4 linked regions of the Callithrix jacchus genome follow. The protein of the gene in region 1 purifies or fractionates together with the protein of each later gene. This does not show direct contact. Links are inferred from orthologs where the notes say so. Each region holds a gene or a part of one and is shown in the gene's direction. Other genes may lie near its edges. The genes, in order: ANKRD52, PPP6R1, PPP6C and PPP6R2.

Evidence for each region.
Region 2: the proteins of ANKRD52 (region 1) and PPP6R1 purify together in Homo sapiens (co-immunoprecipitation; 3 studies listed by BioGRID and IntAct, with this or other methods). This does not show direct contact. The link is inferred for Callithrix jacchus from reciprocal best matches to the Homo sapiens genes ANKRD52 and PPP6R1.
Region 3: the proteins of ANKRD52 (region 1) and PPP6C purify together in Homo sapiens (affinity purification with mass spectrometry; 6 studies listed by BioGRID and IntAct, with this or other methods). This does not show direct contact. The link is inferred for Callithrix jacchus from reciprocal best matches to the Homo sapiens genes ANKRD52 and PPP6C.
Region 4: the proteins of ANKRD52 (region 1) and PPP6R2 purify together in Homo sapiens (affinity purification with mass spectrometry; 3 studies listed by BioGRID and IntAct, counting the BioPlex papers as one, with this or other methods). This does not show direct contact. The link is inferred for Callithrix jacchus from reciprocal best matches to the Homo sapiens genes ANKRD52 and PPP6R2.

What each region holds. Positions count from the first base shown.
Region 1 is NC_133510.1:63,388,121-63,392,481, forward strand, and holds the start of ANKRD52 (serine/threonine-protein phosphatase 6 regulatory ankyrin repeat subunit C), read left to right. Parts: upstream 1-1,526; 5' UTR 1,527-1,641; coding exon 1,642-1,668; intron 1,669-1,992; coding exon 1,993-2,076; intron 2,077-2,538; coding exon 2,539-2,617; intron 2,618-2,814; coding exon 2,815-2,885; intron 2,886-3,959; coding exon 3,960-4,160; intron 4,161-4,361. UniProt on the Homo sapiens protein: Putative regulatory subunit of protein phosphatase 6 (PP6) that may be involved in the recognition of phosphoprotein substrates.
Region 2 is NC_133523.1:48,097,772-48,100,824, reverse strand, and holds the end of PPP6R1 (serine/threonine-protein phosphatase 6 regulatory subunit 1), read left to right. Parts: intron 1-102; coding exon 103-239; intron 240-332; coding exon 333-513; intron 514-646; coding exon 647-717; intron 718-824; coding exon 825-906; intron 907-1,419; coding exon 1,420-1,530; intron 1,531-1,614; coding exon 1,615-1,686; coding exon of another isoform or gene 1,687-1,690; intron 1,691-1,767; coding exon 1,768-1,771; 3' UTR 1,772-2,528; downstream 2,529-3,053. UniProt on the Homo sapiens protein: Regulatory subunit of protein phosphatase 6 (PP6). May function as a scaffolding PP6 subunit. Involved in the PP6-mediated dephosphorylation of NFKBIE opposing its degradation in response to TNF-alpha.
Region 3 is NC_133502.1:173,787,320-173,791,673, reverse strand, and holds the start of PPP6C (serine/threonine-protein phosphatase 6 catalytic subunit), read left to right. Parts: upstream 1-1,509; 5' UTR 1,510-1,604; coding exon 1,605-1,679; exon of another isoform or gene 1,680-1,897; intron 1,898-4,354.
Region 4 is NC_133502.1:218,986,345-218,989,958, forward strand, and holds part of PPP6R2 (serine/threonine-protein phosphatase 6 regulatory subunit 2), read left to right. Parts: intron 1-2,241; coding exon 2,242-2,368; intron 2,369-3,538; coding exon 3,539-3,614. UniProt on the Homo sapiens protein: Regulatory subunit of protein phosphatase 6 (PP6). May function as a scaffolding PP6 subunit. Involved in the PP6-mediated dephosphorylation of NFKBIE opposing its degradation in response to TNF-alpha.

The sequences.
Region 1 (4,361 bases):
CTTCAAGCGATTCTCCCACCTCAGCCCCTGAGTAGCTGGGACGATAGGCACGTGCCACCATGCCCAGCTAGTTTTTCTGTATTTTTAGTAGAGATGGGGTTTCACTATGTTGGCCAGGCTGGTCTTGAATTCCTGACCCTGTGATCTGCCTGCCTGGGCCTCCCAAAGTGCTGAAATTACAGGCATGAGCCACTGTGCCTGGCCAACTTTTATTTTCAACACTGTAAAAACTAAAAAAAATTTAGGCCCGGCGTGTGTTTTACACCTGTAAGTACTGTAATCCCAGTATTTTGAGAGGCTGAAGCAGGCACATCACCTGAGATCAGGATTTCGAGACCAGCCTGAGCAACATGGAGAAACCCTGCTGTCTCTACTAAAAATACAAAATGAGCTGGGCGTGGTGGTGCATGCCTGTAATCCCAGCTACTCGGGAGGCTGAGACAGGATAATCACTTGAACCCGGGAGGAAGAGGTTGCAGTGAGACAAGATTGTGTCACTGCACTCCAGCCTGGGTGACAAGAGTAAAACTCCGTCTCAAAATAAAATAAAATAAAATAAAATGTATTTTTATTTTTTCCTCTCCCAGCAAGGGAGGCCTTTTATATATAAAGACTTGACAGGATGCCAGCATGCTATACTTCTTCCATTACATGTTCCTTTCAATGTATTGAGTTGTAAAACTCTGAGCAGGACTCTGGATCACCTTTTATAAATTGTACCAATTTTTCAATCTCCACTTTTCGTCTTCCTTTTTTTTTTTCTGTTTCTGGGCCGGGATGACCTCCATTCATTTCTTCTCTAACTGACGGCTCTCCGGCATCTCCATTGGAGGAGGGGAAACACCGCATGCTGTTCTAAGGAGAAATTGTTGAGTGTTTTCCACTTTAACCTTGCAATGGAGTCATTAAGGAGTTGGAAAATGCTCCTTCTGTTGATCTCGGCCGTCTCTTCCAGCTGCCAGTTGTCATGGCCTCTTTGTGGGTGTTTTCTGCAGTAGAATCCTCCTTGGGGTTTCTCTGCAGTTTGAGCACTTTGCTATTTCTTTTCTACCGAACTCACCCCTCCGCCAGTGGAGATACACGTCTTCCCTCCCTCTGGGGCTATTGCCATACCTAATTCTCAGTTCCCCACCTGCCAGTTCCCCCTAGTCTGTGGGGGATTTCGGGGTGTGGAATAGCTGACGGGAGGAGTTAGCTCGGCCGGGAGCAACGTGGGCTGGGTGAGATCTGGCCAGCCGTTCGGTCCTCAGCTTGGAAAGCATCGCGGGACCAAGGCCCAGGTTTCCGCTAGGGTCTTGTGGGGTAACCTCTTGGGCCGCCAGACTGGAGCGGAGAGCACTGCGCGGCCGGTTGCGGAAGCCGGGGAGCGGACGCGCGAGTTAGGGGGTGCGGGGGCTGCTGGGGCCGCCAGGGTGGGGCGGAGAGTGCTGCGGTCGGGGTCAGTTTGCGCGGGGAGCGCCGGGCCCAGAACCGCCGCCAGGGAGCGCTGCGGCCTCCCGCTCGCCCGCCCCCCGGTAGGCGGGGCCGCGCTCTCCCCGCAGCCGCCGCCGCAGCCGCCGCCTGGGCCGCTCCGTGTCCCCGGTGGAGCCGCCGCCGCCGCCGCCGCCGGGAGCTCGATGCGGACGGAGCCCGGGCCGGGCCATGGGGATCCTCAGCATCACGGACCAGGTCAGCCCTCCTGCCCTTCCTCGCTTCCTCCTTCCAAGGCTCGGCGTCGCCGCCACGCGAGCCCGGGGATGTGCGGCCTAGGTTGGGCCCGAGCCCGGGGCTCCCGCAGCTCCCGCCCCGCCCCATGCCGCGCTCCCCTCTACCGAGCCGGTGTCCTTGGGGACCTGGCAACCGGCGGAGGCACCGCGGGAGCCCGCTGCAGGCAGAATCCCCAGAACGGAGCCCCTCCACGGACGCCCCCCCACAAACCTGGGTGTTCCCCCACCCCCACCCCGGTTCCGCTCCGGCTCTAGCCCGCTCCCTGAATGCCGGTTCTCCCTGCAGCCGCCCCTGGTCCAGGCCATCTTTAGCCGAGATGTGGAGGAAGTGCGTTCCCTACTCTCGCAGAAGGAGAACATCAATGTGCTGGTGAGTTGGGAGCAGGGAGGATGGCGAGATCGGAATCCTGGCTCCCGTGTTCTGGACCCCTCCCCACCGGTGGGGCGGCTCCGTGTCTCCTCTGCTCAGAAGAGGCCGCAGTTCTTTCCATCCTGGAGTGAAAGCCTACTCTGCATTTGGGGATGGAGAGCAGGTCAGGCTTGGAGCCCAGATCACTTGGGCTGGGGATGCCCAGGAACGTTGTTCTCTTCTGAACCACCGGAGTCTGCAGCGCCCCCACCCCTCCTGGAAAAAGGAGCCGGCTTCTCAGCCCATTGGCCCTGACTCCACCCTCCCTAGGTGCTTGCCTTTGACTCCCAGTACCGGGACTTAAGATGCTGCAGAAACTATGGGAAGAGGTTGTGGGGAAGGGCCTGGAGCTCTGAGGCTTGGGCTGGGGTCCTTGATAGCCCCACATCCCCCGCCCACAGTCCCTCTTTTCTGCCTTCCCAGGACCAAGAGAGGCGAACTCCATTGCATGCTGCTGCCTACGTAGGCGATGTCCCCATCCTCCAGTTGCTACTGATGTCAGGTGAAAGTGGGGAGCTGGAAGGTGTGGCACATAGGGAGGGAAGGAAGGGGAGGAGTCTTTTTTGATGTTCAAGGATTGGTCTTCCTTGCTCAGTCCAGGCGAGACTCCAGCTCCATTCAGATTTTCTGGCCTGATTACTGGCTTTCTTCCCACCCCCTCCACCTCTTCCATCAATACAGGAAATTATATCCCCACAGGTGCTAATGTCAACGCTAAGGACACACTGTGGCTGACCCCTCTTCATCGTGCTGCTGCCTCCCGAAATGAGGTATGCACCCCCACCTTCTTTCACCCTTTCAAAAAGGATGAGTTGCTTAGAGGTGGAGGTTAAGGGTTAAGGAGCCTCAGTCCTCAGCCCTACAAGCTGTTCTACCCCAGGTAGGGAGGAGATCAAATCTTGGCCCCTCCCTCCTACCCCTGGAACTGGCTGGTAAGGGGGCTGAGTGCTGCCAGCTGATGTGACTCAGGGAGAGCTTAACACTGGGCTGGCAGACTGCGGGGGCCCTGCTGCCAGGCCTGAGTGACTCATCCCTCCCTGGGGGGCCACCTTGAGTCTGATCCCCCTCTGGGCACTGAGATTTCTTTCCTTGTGATGGGGGATGGGTATAATAATCTGTTGCATCCTTGGCCCTCAAGCAACTTGAAAGCTGACAGCGACAGCACAGGGGCCAAACATATTTCATCAGTTGGGTCCTTAATCCTATTCCCATCAGCCCTGAAGAGAGGGAAAGGGGGACCTCCTCCTCAGTTCATCACTTCCCTGGCTCCAGCCACTAGGGGGAGGGGCCGAGGCCAGTGAGAATGAGATGGGTAGTGGTTAGGAGGGGCATTTTACCCTGGGTTTTGCAAAGGAACCGGTATCTGTTTGCTTACTGAGATACTGAAAATAATTTTAGTGCCTATGAGGAGGCTACATGTTCAGGGTAAGACGTATCAAGAGCATTTAGTTTTCCTAGAAGTAGTGGGGGGGTTGGGATATGTGGCTCTGCATTTGTGGATTTGTTTGGGAATGGATGTATGTGTGAGTGAAGAATTTTATTTTGCAAAAAAAGAACATGTTTCAGTGTGAGTGAAGATTTTCAGGGTCTAGGTTAACAAGTCAGGTGGCTTGAAGAGCAAAGGGTCCCTGTTTCCTTAGCAAGGTAAGGAAAAGTTTAAGCTCTAAGAAGATCCAGAAGATGGGAAGTAGGTATTGAGAGTCTAGGTATGTTGGAAAAATGAGAAGAGACTCTGTGCTGGGGAAAACAGGGCCATATATGCTATGCTGACCTATTCCTCCTTCTATTTCCTGTTGTTTTGCCTCCTGCTCCCACTCTCTCTTTTGTCCCCTGCCCCTCAACAGAAGGTGCTGGGGCTGCTGCTGGCACATTCAGCAGATGTGAATGCCCGGGACAAGCTGTGGCAGACACCGCTACATGTGGCTGCTGCCAACCGGGCCACCAAGTGTGCTGAGGCTCTGGCACCCCTGTTGAGCAGCCTCAACGTGGCTGACAGGAGTGGACGCAGTGCTCTGCACCATGCAGTGCATAGTGGGCATCTTGAGGTGAGGACTGTTCCCACCTTACCTTCCCTTTTCTTACCTTCCTACTTACTTTCCCTGTTTCTGGGTCCTCATGCCTGCAGGAGAAGCAGCCCGGATGGTAATATAAACACTTGAGCTCACACACTAAATGAATGGTTAGACTAGATTAAAATTCTTAACTTGGAGTTCAGGAAGTTGATAAAACCTGGATTTTGTGTGGAA
Region 2 (3,053 bases), on another chromosome or scaffold:
CTTCAGCCCACCCTCCTTGGGCTGATCCTGGCTGCAGGGAACCAGATGGTGGTTGGCTGGTCTGTCCCACACAGCTGACTGACAAGGTGGTTTCTGGGGCAGGAGTGGAGGCAGCACAGACAGTGAGGACGAAGAAGAGGAGGAGGAGGAGGAGGAGGAAGACGAGGAGGGCATTGGCTGTGCAGCCCGTGGAGGGGCCACCCTGCTGTCCTACCCCAGCCCTGGTCCTCAGCCTCCAGGTGAATGAACAGGCGGTGTGGTCAGGCATCCACAGGCTGTCGGCCTGCTGCTAAGCTCATCCTCTGCTGCCCACCCCCCCACCTCTACCCCAGGCCCCGGCTGGACCGCCACCTTTGACCCAGTGCCTACGGATGCCCTGACCAGCCCCCGAGTCTCCGGGGAGGAAGAGCTGCACACTGGGCCTCCAGCCCCACAGGGGCCCCTCATTGTGCCCCAGGGCTTCCCCACCCAGAGCCTGGCCAGCCCTCCAGCTCATGATGCCCTGCAGCTCAGGTGAGAACCAGACGGGACGGGCTGGATGGCGCTGGTATCCCGAGGCCAGGAGGTGGTCATGGCCTCCCAGTTCTCTTGTAGGCTTGAGCGCTGACCCTAGCTGCCCCCTTGGGCTGCCTCTCTCGCCTGCCAGGTCTCAGGACCCCACAAACCCCTCAGCACCTCAGGAAGCCATGGACGGCAGCAAAGTCGTGGAGCCCTCAGGTGAGCCCCTCTTTGCCCTGCCCACCTGTGGCCTTGGGCAGAGAGAGCAGCCTGGCCAGCTCTGAGCTTGCTGGGATGCTGCGGCTGAGACCTCTCATCCCCCACAGCCCCCTGCCAGGCCTTGGTCAGCGTCGGGGACCTCCAGGCCACCTTCCACGGGATCCGTTCTGCCCCCAACTCCTCGGACAGGTGAGCAATGAGGTGGGGCTTACTGTGGGGAGGGGCTGGTATCAGGAGAAGTCTTTTCTCCTCCTCAGTGAGGTGGGCTTGGGTTTGTCTTGTCCCTGAGCTGCTCCAGGTGACCCTTGCAGGACCCCCAGGCCCAGCCTCATGTCATGCCCCAGCCCCCTGCACTCTGCAGGCTGGTTCTTCTCTTAGTAGCCTGGGATGCTCAGGGCCCCCAGGGTTGGAAAAGGCTCCCTGGAGGTTGTGAAGGATTGGGAGGGTGAGAGCATGCAGGAGACCCCTTGGGGCTGTCCCAACCGGCCTCGAGCAACTCCTCCACAGGGACAGGAACATGAAGGGAGGTGCTTGTCCTCTTGCCCAGAGCTGTGCAGTCCCTCTGCACTGAGCTAGCTTCGTGCTCGGGAGGCCCCTTCTGGTGGGGCAAGTGGCGGACACCCAGTGAGCCAACTGAAATTGTCAGGGGTGTGAGGGTGTCAGCAGGTGACGCTGACAGTTGCACCTGCCTCTCACCCACAGTGCAACCAGAGACCCCTCTACCTCTGTCCCAGCCTCCGGGGCCCACCAGCCCCCACAGACCACAGATGGGGAGAAGAGCCCAGAGCCTTTGGGGCTTACCCAAAGCCAGAGGTGAGTACCAGGGCAGCGGGGCAGGGCAGGGCAGGGCTGGCGGGCAGGAAGTGACCTCTGCACATCCCCTCCCTCCCGTGACAGTGCCCAGGCCCTCACACCTCCTCCAGTGCCCAATGGCTCTGCCCCGGAAGGGCCTGCATCACCGGGCTCTCAGTGAGTGTGGCTGCAGCCTGGGGCTGGGCAGGTGGGGCTGGGCCTGCTGGACCCTCACACGACATCTCTCTCTGTTTGCAGGTAGCTGCCTGGTGTGGCAGCAGCTGCCAAATCATCCGTCCTCCCATGGATCTCCCAGGGTGGGGGCAGGGCGAGTCCCATGATGGCCCCCGTTGCCCTCATCACCTGACCCCCCCACATTCTCTCCTTTGGACCCCCAGGAGGCTGGTGCCAGGGAGACAGGCCCAACCCAACCCCATTTGCACTGAGAATAGAAGTTTTGGAGCATTGCCTCCTAGAATAAAGATAAAGAGAGTCAAATAGAGAGAATGGAGAGAGAGAAATGTCTATTATATATTATATAAAGAGAGAGAGGGAGGAGAGGGAGGAGAGGGAGAGAAGGTGAGAACACCGAGCTGGGCTGGCGGCCCGAAGCACAGCTTCCCGTCCTGTCCCAGTGGGGGCTGGTGGTAGGGGTCCAAGGTTGCCGCCCACGTGCCCAGCCATCCTACGCTCAGGCACAGATGGCCATGCCCACACCCGGCCTTTCAGCTCAGGTCCACCATGAGGGACAGCCCAAGTGAGGGTGGGGGTGCCAGAGGGTCCCGCGTGGGGGCCGTGCCTTTGCCCAGACCCTGCACTTTCAACCAGGCCAGCCCGGCTCTGGGGAGCAGGGGCCTCCCCGGCAACACCCCCAGGGTCCCTGAGGGTCTGGGGTCCCAGCCCTGTTGCCAAGTGGCCTTGTCCAAGCTCCTTCCTCCCAGGCTGGTGTGAGTGTGTGTGCGTTCGTGCCGAGCTTCTATTTCATATTGCAAATATAAATAAAGGAAGACAGTTTACGATTCTGCTGGTCAGACCGTACATTCTGGGATGCGGGGAGGGCAGCCTGTGTTATCCCTGTACCCCAGCGGTTGGGGTACTCCTAACCCAGTCTGCCCCCACACTGTGTCCTGCCAGAGGGAGCCCTGTGGCTACAGAGGCCACAGGCTGGGCCAGGCACTGGCTGTGATGGCTCCTGCCAGGCCTACCCCACCTGTGGGCAGGGCCGAGGGTGGAGGATGGAAGCTGCCATCGGGGGCTCAAATCCCTGCTCCTACCCCCCTTTGGTAACCAAGCCCAGCATTGAGGCCGGGCAGTGGTGCCCAGTATGTCTGAGTCTTTGAGCCGGAAGGTAGAAGTGTAGGCCGGTGCACAGCAAGTGGAACAGGGGAGCGGTGCCAGGAAGCCTCTGTCTCGGCTACACCGGACCATGTGGGCCGGGTCATGAGGACAGTGTCCTCACTGCGGTGGCAGCTGGTTTGGAGGTCACCTAGGGCTGGCTCAGCTAGCAGGGGAGGGTGCTTATTCCCTGCATTCTTCGGGCCCCT
Region 3 (4,354 bases), on another chromosome or scaffold:
ACGTCCACAGAATACACTGTAGAGAGTGAGAGGATTCATTCCAGGGTCACTTGAGCAACAAATATGTATTGCGCACCTGCTACAATTGGATGACATAACAGTCTCCTAACTGATCTCTTAGCTAGAGCTATTGCACCCCCACCCCAGTCCCATACAGCAGCTTCCTTTTACTAATTTTATTTTATTTATTTTTGAGGATCTCGCTCTGTCCCCCAAGCTGGAGTGCAGTGACACGATCTCAGCTCACTGCAACCTCCATTTCCTGGGCTCAAGCGATTCTTCTGCCTCAGCCTCCAGTGTAGCTGGGACCACAAGCACGCACTACTGCCCCCGGCTAAATTTGGTAGTTTTTGTAGCTACAGATAGGATAGAGATCTTTGTCTATTTTGTTCACTAAGTATTCCAAGCGCCTGCAGCTGTACCTGGTACATCTTTGTTGCTCAATAAAGAGCGGTTGAATAAACTACTGAAGGTATGCGGTACTGTTCTCCGTGCTGGAGTCACAGCAGAAAACTCCCTGCCTTCGTGGGATTCTCACTGGAAGTATGCTTAAGCTTAAGCCATTTTCCAATCTTGGCCCCACCATTTGTTCCCTGTGAGATTTGGGGTAAACTACTTAAAGCCTCCAAGTCTCACTTTCCTACCAATTGTTACAAAGATTAAATGGAAAAATAGAATTTGTATCGCATTTAGCATAAGAAATGTTTTTTTTTTTTGAGATGGAGTTTCGCTGTTGTTACCCAGACTGGAGAGCAATGGCATGATCTCGGCTCACCGCAACCTCCGCCTTCTGGGTTCAGGCAATTCTCCTGCCTCAGCCTCCCGAGTAGCTGGGACTACAGGCGCCACCACCATGCCCAGCTAATTTTTGTATTTTTAGTAGAGACGGGGTTTCACCTTGTTGCCCAGGATGGTCTCGATCTCTTGATGTCGTGATTTACCCGCCTCGGCCTCCCAAAGTGCTAGGATTATAGGCGTGAGCCACCGCGCCCGGCCAAGAAATGCTTTAATATTTCTTTATCTTCCTTTCAGGCTGGAGCCTGACATTTGTGCCACAGGCTTAAGCGAGGTTTTCACAGGCACTTGGAAAGATGCAAACAAGTTACTACGGCCAGGCTTACCCAGTTGTTAAGTGAAAGTGAGAGAGTGCTTAAAAGGGTTGGAAGGAGAAACGAGTGAGTGGCTAGGACGACCTACTCCGCCGTTTTGCCTCGGAAAAGCCTCGCCCGCTGCCGGGAGGTGAAAGTCTGGAGGAACTGAAGGGGAGGAAAAGAAAGGGGTGGCTGTCCACAACGGAAAACTACAAATCCCGGCAACACCCGCGGCAGGCGACTACGGGTCCCATCAGAATTCGCAGGCTGGACCGATGGGGGGGCCTCTTGGGGCCTGCAGCCGGGGTTCAGCCAGAGGGGGCGCCGGGCGTACCGAGGTAGCGGGGAGAAGCGGGTCGCGCTTTAACGGCGCTGCGCAGACGCCACTCACGGTCCGGACGTGACGTAGGAGAGTTCCGGCTTCGGCCTCCGCCGCTGCCGCCGCCGCCGCTGCTTTTACAGCCGCCGCCGCCGCCGACCCCGCCGCTGTCGCCGCGGCTTGTTATTCTCAAAATGGCGCCGCTAGACCTAGACAAGTATGTGGAGATAGCGCGGCTGTGCAAATACCTGCCAGAGAACGACCTGAAGGTGAGCCCTGCCGGGGCGGGAGCGCTGCTTACAGGCTCGCCCCTTCCGGCTGTGGGGCGCCCGCCGGCCCGCCCTTCCTCTCTTCGTGGGACCCCCGCCGGGTATCCCGTCTCTCCGCGGTGGAGGGCCCTCTCCGATGCCATGCGACCCGGCCCGACCCGGCGTCACGCCAATGGTTGGGGGAACCAAGTCCCCCAAATGATGTCCTAGTTGCCTCAGTGGGTATCCCAAGGGATTTCGCGGCCTCTACCCCAGGGTCGCCCCTTTTGGCCTTCGGGCTGCCCCAGGACCCGTAGCTGCAACAGCTTTGCTTAGCAGCTTTCCACCCCTTCCCGGGATCTCCGGCATTCACTGCCGAGCCCCCGCGGCAGTGCCCTCGGGATGGGATCGTCCCCGTTGGAGGTGACAGGAGCGCAGAGTGGCCGGCGTCTGACAGGAGTTGCCACAGGCTCTTGCAACGCGGCCCCAGTTTGTTTAGGTCTCTGAGGAAGGGGAAGGCGGTGGGTCCGAGTGGTTTGGTACTGACGAGAGCGAATGTCAGATCGTCCCTCTTCTCTGCCACTCCTCCACCTTCTCCAAATTGCCTTTTAGGACCGTGGGTTTTCTTCTGCTAATTCAGAGGTGAACCCGTTTCTGAGTATTTTGTTGAGCTTACTGAAGTGGAGAAAGTAGTTGGTTCTTAATAAATACAAATACTTTCCCCTTAACCCCTTCTTAACTCAAGATTTCGTTTTCTTGGTTTTCTAAAGAAGACGAGTTCCTCGTTGCCCTTGAGTCCAAGTAAATGTATGTATGGGTAAAGGAATGAGTTTGATATACTGCTTTTCTTTTCAACTTATTATTTATTTATTTATTTTATTTTTCTTTGAGACGGAGTCTCTGCCGCCCAGTCTGAAGTGCAGTGGCTTGATCTCAGCTCACTGAAGCCTCCGCCTCTTGGGTTCAAGCGATTCTCCTGCCTCAGCCTCCTGAGCAGCTGAGATTACAGGCACATGCCACCACGTCTGGCTCATTTTTGTATTTTTAGTAGAGATGGCGTTTCACCATGTTGGCCAGGCTGATCTTGAACTCCTGACCTCGTGATCTGCCCGCCTTGGCCTCCCAAAGTGCTGGTATTACAGATGTGAGCCACCGCTCCCTTCCATCATTATTTTTTATTGAAACAGTCTCACTCTGTCATCCAGGCTGGAGTGCAGTGGCGCGATCTTGGCTCACTGCACCTCTGCCTCCTGGGTTCGAGTGATTCTCCTGCCTCAGCCTCCCGAGTAGGTGGCTGACACCCGGCTGTTTTGTATTTTTAGTAGAGACGGGTTTTTGCCATGTTGGCCAGGCTAGTCTCGAACTCCTGACCTCAATTGGTCCGCCCACCTCAACTTCCCAAAGTGCTGGGATTACAGACGTGAGCCCCCGCACCCGTCCTAGGTATGCTGCTTTTTTGAAAAGTGTTTATGCATTTGGTGAAACCAGTGCTTATTAGGTTTCTAGCAGTGCTTATCAGCTTGTGCTAGTTATTTATCTTAGTGTATTCTTCAAGAAATATATTACTGTGGGTTTTGTTTGTTTCTTCTTTGGTATTGGAAGTTGATACTTAACATAAGTCAACAAGTATGCATAATGTTTGAGGCCACACATGCTGTTGTGAATGTAACTGAATTGTACTTATATGTTAATTTTATGAAGCATATTATAGGGGAGTCATTCTTGTGTATGCTCCCATTTTTAATAGGATAATTTAAAATAAGGATAGAGCCTTCATTAGTAGCAATGTAGCATACATACTCATCAGTCCTTCAGACATTTGTTTTGTGGCTTCTTTCTGCTATGCGTGTTTCTTTTTTCTTTTTTTTGGAATAAGAATACAACTAGCATTGGGATCCAATTCATGGAAAACTAACCAGACCTCTTAGTAGCATTATTAATCCTGTAGGTGAGGTTGACTATTGCATGTCAGTGAATTGATTTGGAATTTTTTCTTTTTATTTATCATGTGTAAAGCTTTTTTAAACTTTGTGTTTATGATAAATAAAATGTTTTTTTTTTTTTTATGATAACGTCTCAGGCATGGCATAATCCCAGCACTTTGGGAGGCCAAGGTGGGCGGATCATCTGAGGTCAGGAGTTCGAAACTAGCCTGATCGACATGGGAAACCCCATCTCTACTAAAAAATGCAAAAATTAGCCTGGCGTGGTGGTGAGTGCCTGTAATCCCAGCTACCTGGGAGGCTGAGGCAGGGTGAATTGCTTGAACCCAGGAGGTGGAGGTTGCAGTGACCCAAGATCAAGCCACTGCACTCCAGCCTGTGTGACAGAGGGAGACTCCATCTCACAAAAAAAAAAAGAATCTGTTGGACTTCTTTGGACCTCTTACTTTGATAAACATTAGATTTCCTTCTTACCTTAATGAAATATAGTTTTTAGACCATTTTATTTCCTATTGAACACAACTGCATTATACTTTGCTTCTATTTGTTTTTCTTTTTTTCTTTTCTTTTTTTTTTTTGAGATGGAATTTCGCTCTTGTTACCCAGGCTGGAGTGCAATGGCACGATCTGGGCTCACCGCAACCTCTGCCTCCTGGGTTCAGGCAATTCTGCCTCAGCCTCCTCAGTAGCTGGGATTGCAGGCACGCGCCACCATGCCCAGCTAATTTTTTGTATTTTTTTTTTTTTTTTTTT
Region 4 (3,614 bases), on another chromosome or scaffold:
GCCAGCACCACCTGCTGAGCATCATGCTGAGCACTTTGTTCCCAAGTGACTGGCCTCCACTGCACTTTCCCATTCATCAGGTGTCATTTCTACACCCACTGTGCACTGACACAGGCCCTAGGAGACAGAGAACTGAGACACAGCTCCCCCCCTTTATTGCTCCCAGTATGACAGTGGGGAGTGCAGTCTACATGTACCCTGTGCCTCCGGGCTCACAAGAAGGGGGGACGCACATGGGCCAGTGGATGGAGCCTCACAGATCAGGGACTTTTTCCCTGGGAGGCTGCATATGGCCAGAGACAGCCCCTGGAGTGAGACAGTGAGGAGGTCCAGTGTGGACACAAGCGTGGGACAATACGTGGGCAGGGGTGAGTGGAGCTTGTTTGGAGGAGCTCCTTTGCTGTGACCCCACACTGCCGTCAGTGCAGGTGCAGCTGTTGAAGCTCTGGCGAGGCATGACAGTGAATGGGCAGAGACAGACTAGATAGTATCAGAAGGGGGTTCAGGTGAAAGTTGAGTTTGTTTGAGGATATAGGTGCTGGAGACCCTTCTTGGACCCCAGGTGGAAATTTCAGGAAGTGTTTGAAACTGTTGCTCTGGATCACAGTGGGGGCTGGTCCTGCCCTCACAGATCATAGAAGACTGGGCACTGCCAGAGCCACTGAAGCACTTGAAACTCTGAGGAGGATGCCCATGAGGTGCAAATGGACAGACAGCCGAGTGGAGAGTCTGTGAGGGAGGCATTGGGATGGGGGGGTGCCTGGGAGACCAAAAGGAGCACATCAGTGCTCTCTGCCACTTTCCCTCCTGGCCTCCTGCTGGCCCTTGAACCCCATCCTTGAATTCAGATTCCCCACATGCCAGCAGGAACCTGAAGTCTGCAGGATGTTTCTGTCAGCTCCGTTCCATCATGAGCTGTGATGATGTCTAACTCTACCACGGTGGCCATAGTACCCTTATTTCCAAGTTCTGGGGAGAACATCATTCCGCCCCCAACACCGATAGCCTGTGCTTTTTTAAAGTAAAGGAAAAAGGCACAATAGAAAAATGACAAGAAATTGACTTAACTTTGGTAGTGAAATTGTTAGGACTTCCCCTCCCTCTCACCCTCCCTCCCTCCCTCCCTCTCGTACTACCTCATACATATTTGTTAGTTTATTAACCAAAAGTAGAGTTATAATGTTATTGTTTCTCTAGTTGGGCAACTGGAATATTGATTTTTTTTTTTTTTTTTGAGACAGAGTTTTGCTCTTGTTACCCAGGCTGGAGTGCAATGGCGCGATCTCGGCTCACCACAACCTCTGCCTCCTGGGTTCAGGCAATTCTCCTGCCTCAGCCTCCCGAGTAGCTGAGATTTTAGGCGCGTGCCACCATGCCCAGCTAATTTTTTGTATTTTTAGTAGAGACGGGGTTTCACCATGTTGACCAGGATGGTCTCGATCTCTTGACCTTGTGATCCACCCGCCTTGGCCTCCCAAAGTGATGGGATTACAGGCGTGAGCCACCACGCCCGGCCCCGATTATGTATTACTTTTACAACTGGAAAAAGTGTTTTAAAAATATCTCAGAAGACTTGCTTGAAAACACCACAGGGACCAGGCGTGGTCACTGACACCTGTAATCCCAGCACTTTGGGAGGCTGAGGCGGGTGGATCACCTGAGGTCAGGCGATCAAGACCAGCCTGGCCAATGTGGCGAAGCCCCGTCTCTACTAAAAATACAAAAATTAGCTGGGGGTAGTGTCAGGCATCTGTAATCGCAGCTACTCAGGAGGCTGAGGCAGGAGAATTGCTTGAACGCCGGAGCCAGAGGTTGCAGTGAGCCAAGATCGCACCACTGTACTTCAGCCTGGGCAACAGAGTGAGACTCTGGCTCAAGACCACCACCACACAGGAACAGTGAAGATACAGGGTTAGCAGTGGCGCTTTTCAAAGCAGGAGGACAGAGCAGCCCCCCGATGTGCTGGGGGCAACGGGCAGTGAGTTCTGTGTCACTTGCCCTGGCTTCATGTTCTTGGACGTCACAAGCAAGTGTTTTCCTGAAGGTCTTTAGTGCCTTTCTCTTCTGCCTGTACCAGTCACCAGATCGTGTGTGGAGGCCTTCAGTCGTTGCACTCCTCTAGGATTTCTTTTTGGGAAAGTTAAAAGAGCTTTTTCTGGAAGACGATGATGCGCTGAGTTGCTGGTGAAGTTGGAACGGGCCCTGGTGTCCCCAGTCTCCATCTGCTTTCCTCACCCACAGGACAGAGGGCTTGGTGGACTCCTTTTCTCAGGGACTGGAAAGGTCGTACACTGTCAGCAGCAGCGTGCTACATGGCATCGAGCCTCGGCTGAAGGACTTCCACCAGCTCCTGCTCAACCCACCCAAGGTAAATGGCCATGGTGACTGCGAGCACCTTTGGAGGCATCGCGGGAGAGGATGATTTGCAGGGAGAGGAATCCACAGCTTGTCCCACAGGAAGCAGTGTGTGGAGTGAATGTGTTCTAAGATGGCCATTCCCACACCCCTACTTGAGAAGCACCCGGCAGATGCCAAAACACACGTTTTCAGGACTGCTCCCCTGCTCGATCTGCAAATGTTCATCTCTGCGTCTGCAAGGGAGGCCTGGGAGTTGTACATTTTACAGCCTCCTCAGGCAGCTGACCCTGAGGTCACCATAGGCCTAGCCTCCAAGTTGGGGGCATCTGGCTAAGGGATGCTCAGCTCCTGAGAGGGGACCAGGGGGTTTCAGGGGAGGCCCTTTGCCCCATTCAGCAGCACTGGTCGGTGCGTGGGTCCTGTTGAGGAGGGTGAAGCACACAAAGGCTCCTTCCAGCTCAAGACTGCCAGCCAGACTGCCCCCCCATCCCATCTCACCCTCCCCAGACACAGGCAGGCTGCCCCCACATTTTTTCTCACCTTCCCCAGACACAGCCCCACCACTGCTGCGTGGCACCCACTTGACCTACAGCTCAGTTCCTCTCACTTGCCACTTTGGTAAGATCCACCTGCCCCACTAGTAAGCTCCGTGGGGGCCGGGATTCTGTTTTGTCAGCCTGGAGCCTTCAGTGAAAAGAAGGTAGATGTGTTATGCTGAGTGTGGGGGATCAGAAAGACCTGAGGCCCATCCAAGGAGGCATTCTCATGTGTCCCCGAAGTGTGTTCACAGGACACCTGTTAACTTGGTGTTCTGAAGTCCTGTCCCTGGAGGGTGCCCCGTGGACATCCTCACCGAGGCATCGTGCCAGGGGTTCTGGCCTCTGACTGGTACTGCTGGCCCCATCTTGGACGTCTCACCCACCAAGGTGCACGGCTCTGTAGCCCTGCAGGCTCAGACTGGAGTGCCCATGAGCATTCTAGGAGCGCTCTGTGAAGCCCTGAGGGGAACAGCCGGCCCTTCACCCCATTGATCCCTTCATTTCTTCTGGCAGACAGCCCTCCCTCAGGAACCCCCACCACATACCTCACTCACCTGGAGTGGTGGGCATGAGCCTAGAGAGTCCACCAGTGGCCTCACTGCCCACGGGACCTAACTGGGTGGTGCTGTCTGTGTTTGCAGAAGAAGGCGATCCTGACCACCATCGGTGTGCTGGAGGAGCCCCTGGGGAATGCCCGCCTGCATGGCGCCCGCCTCA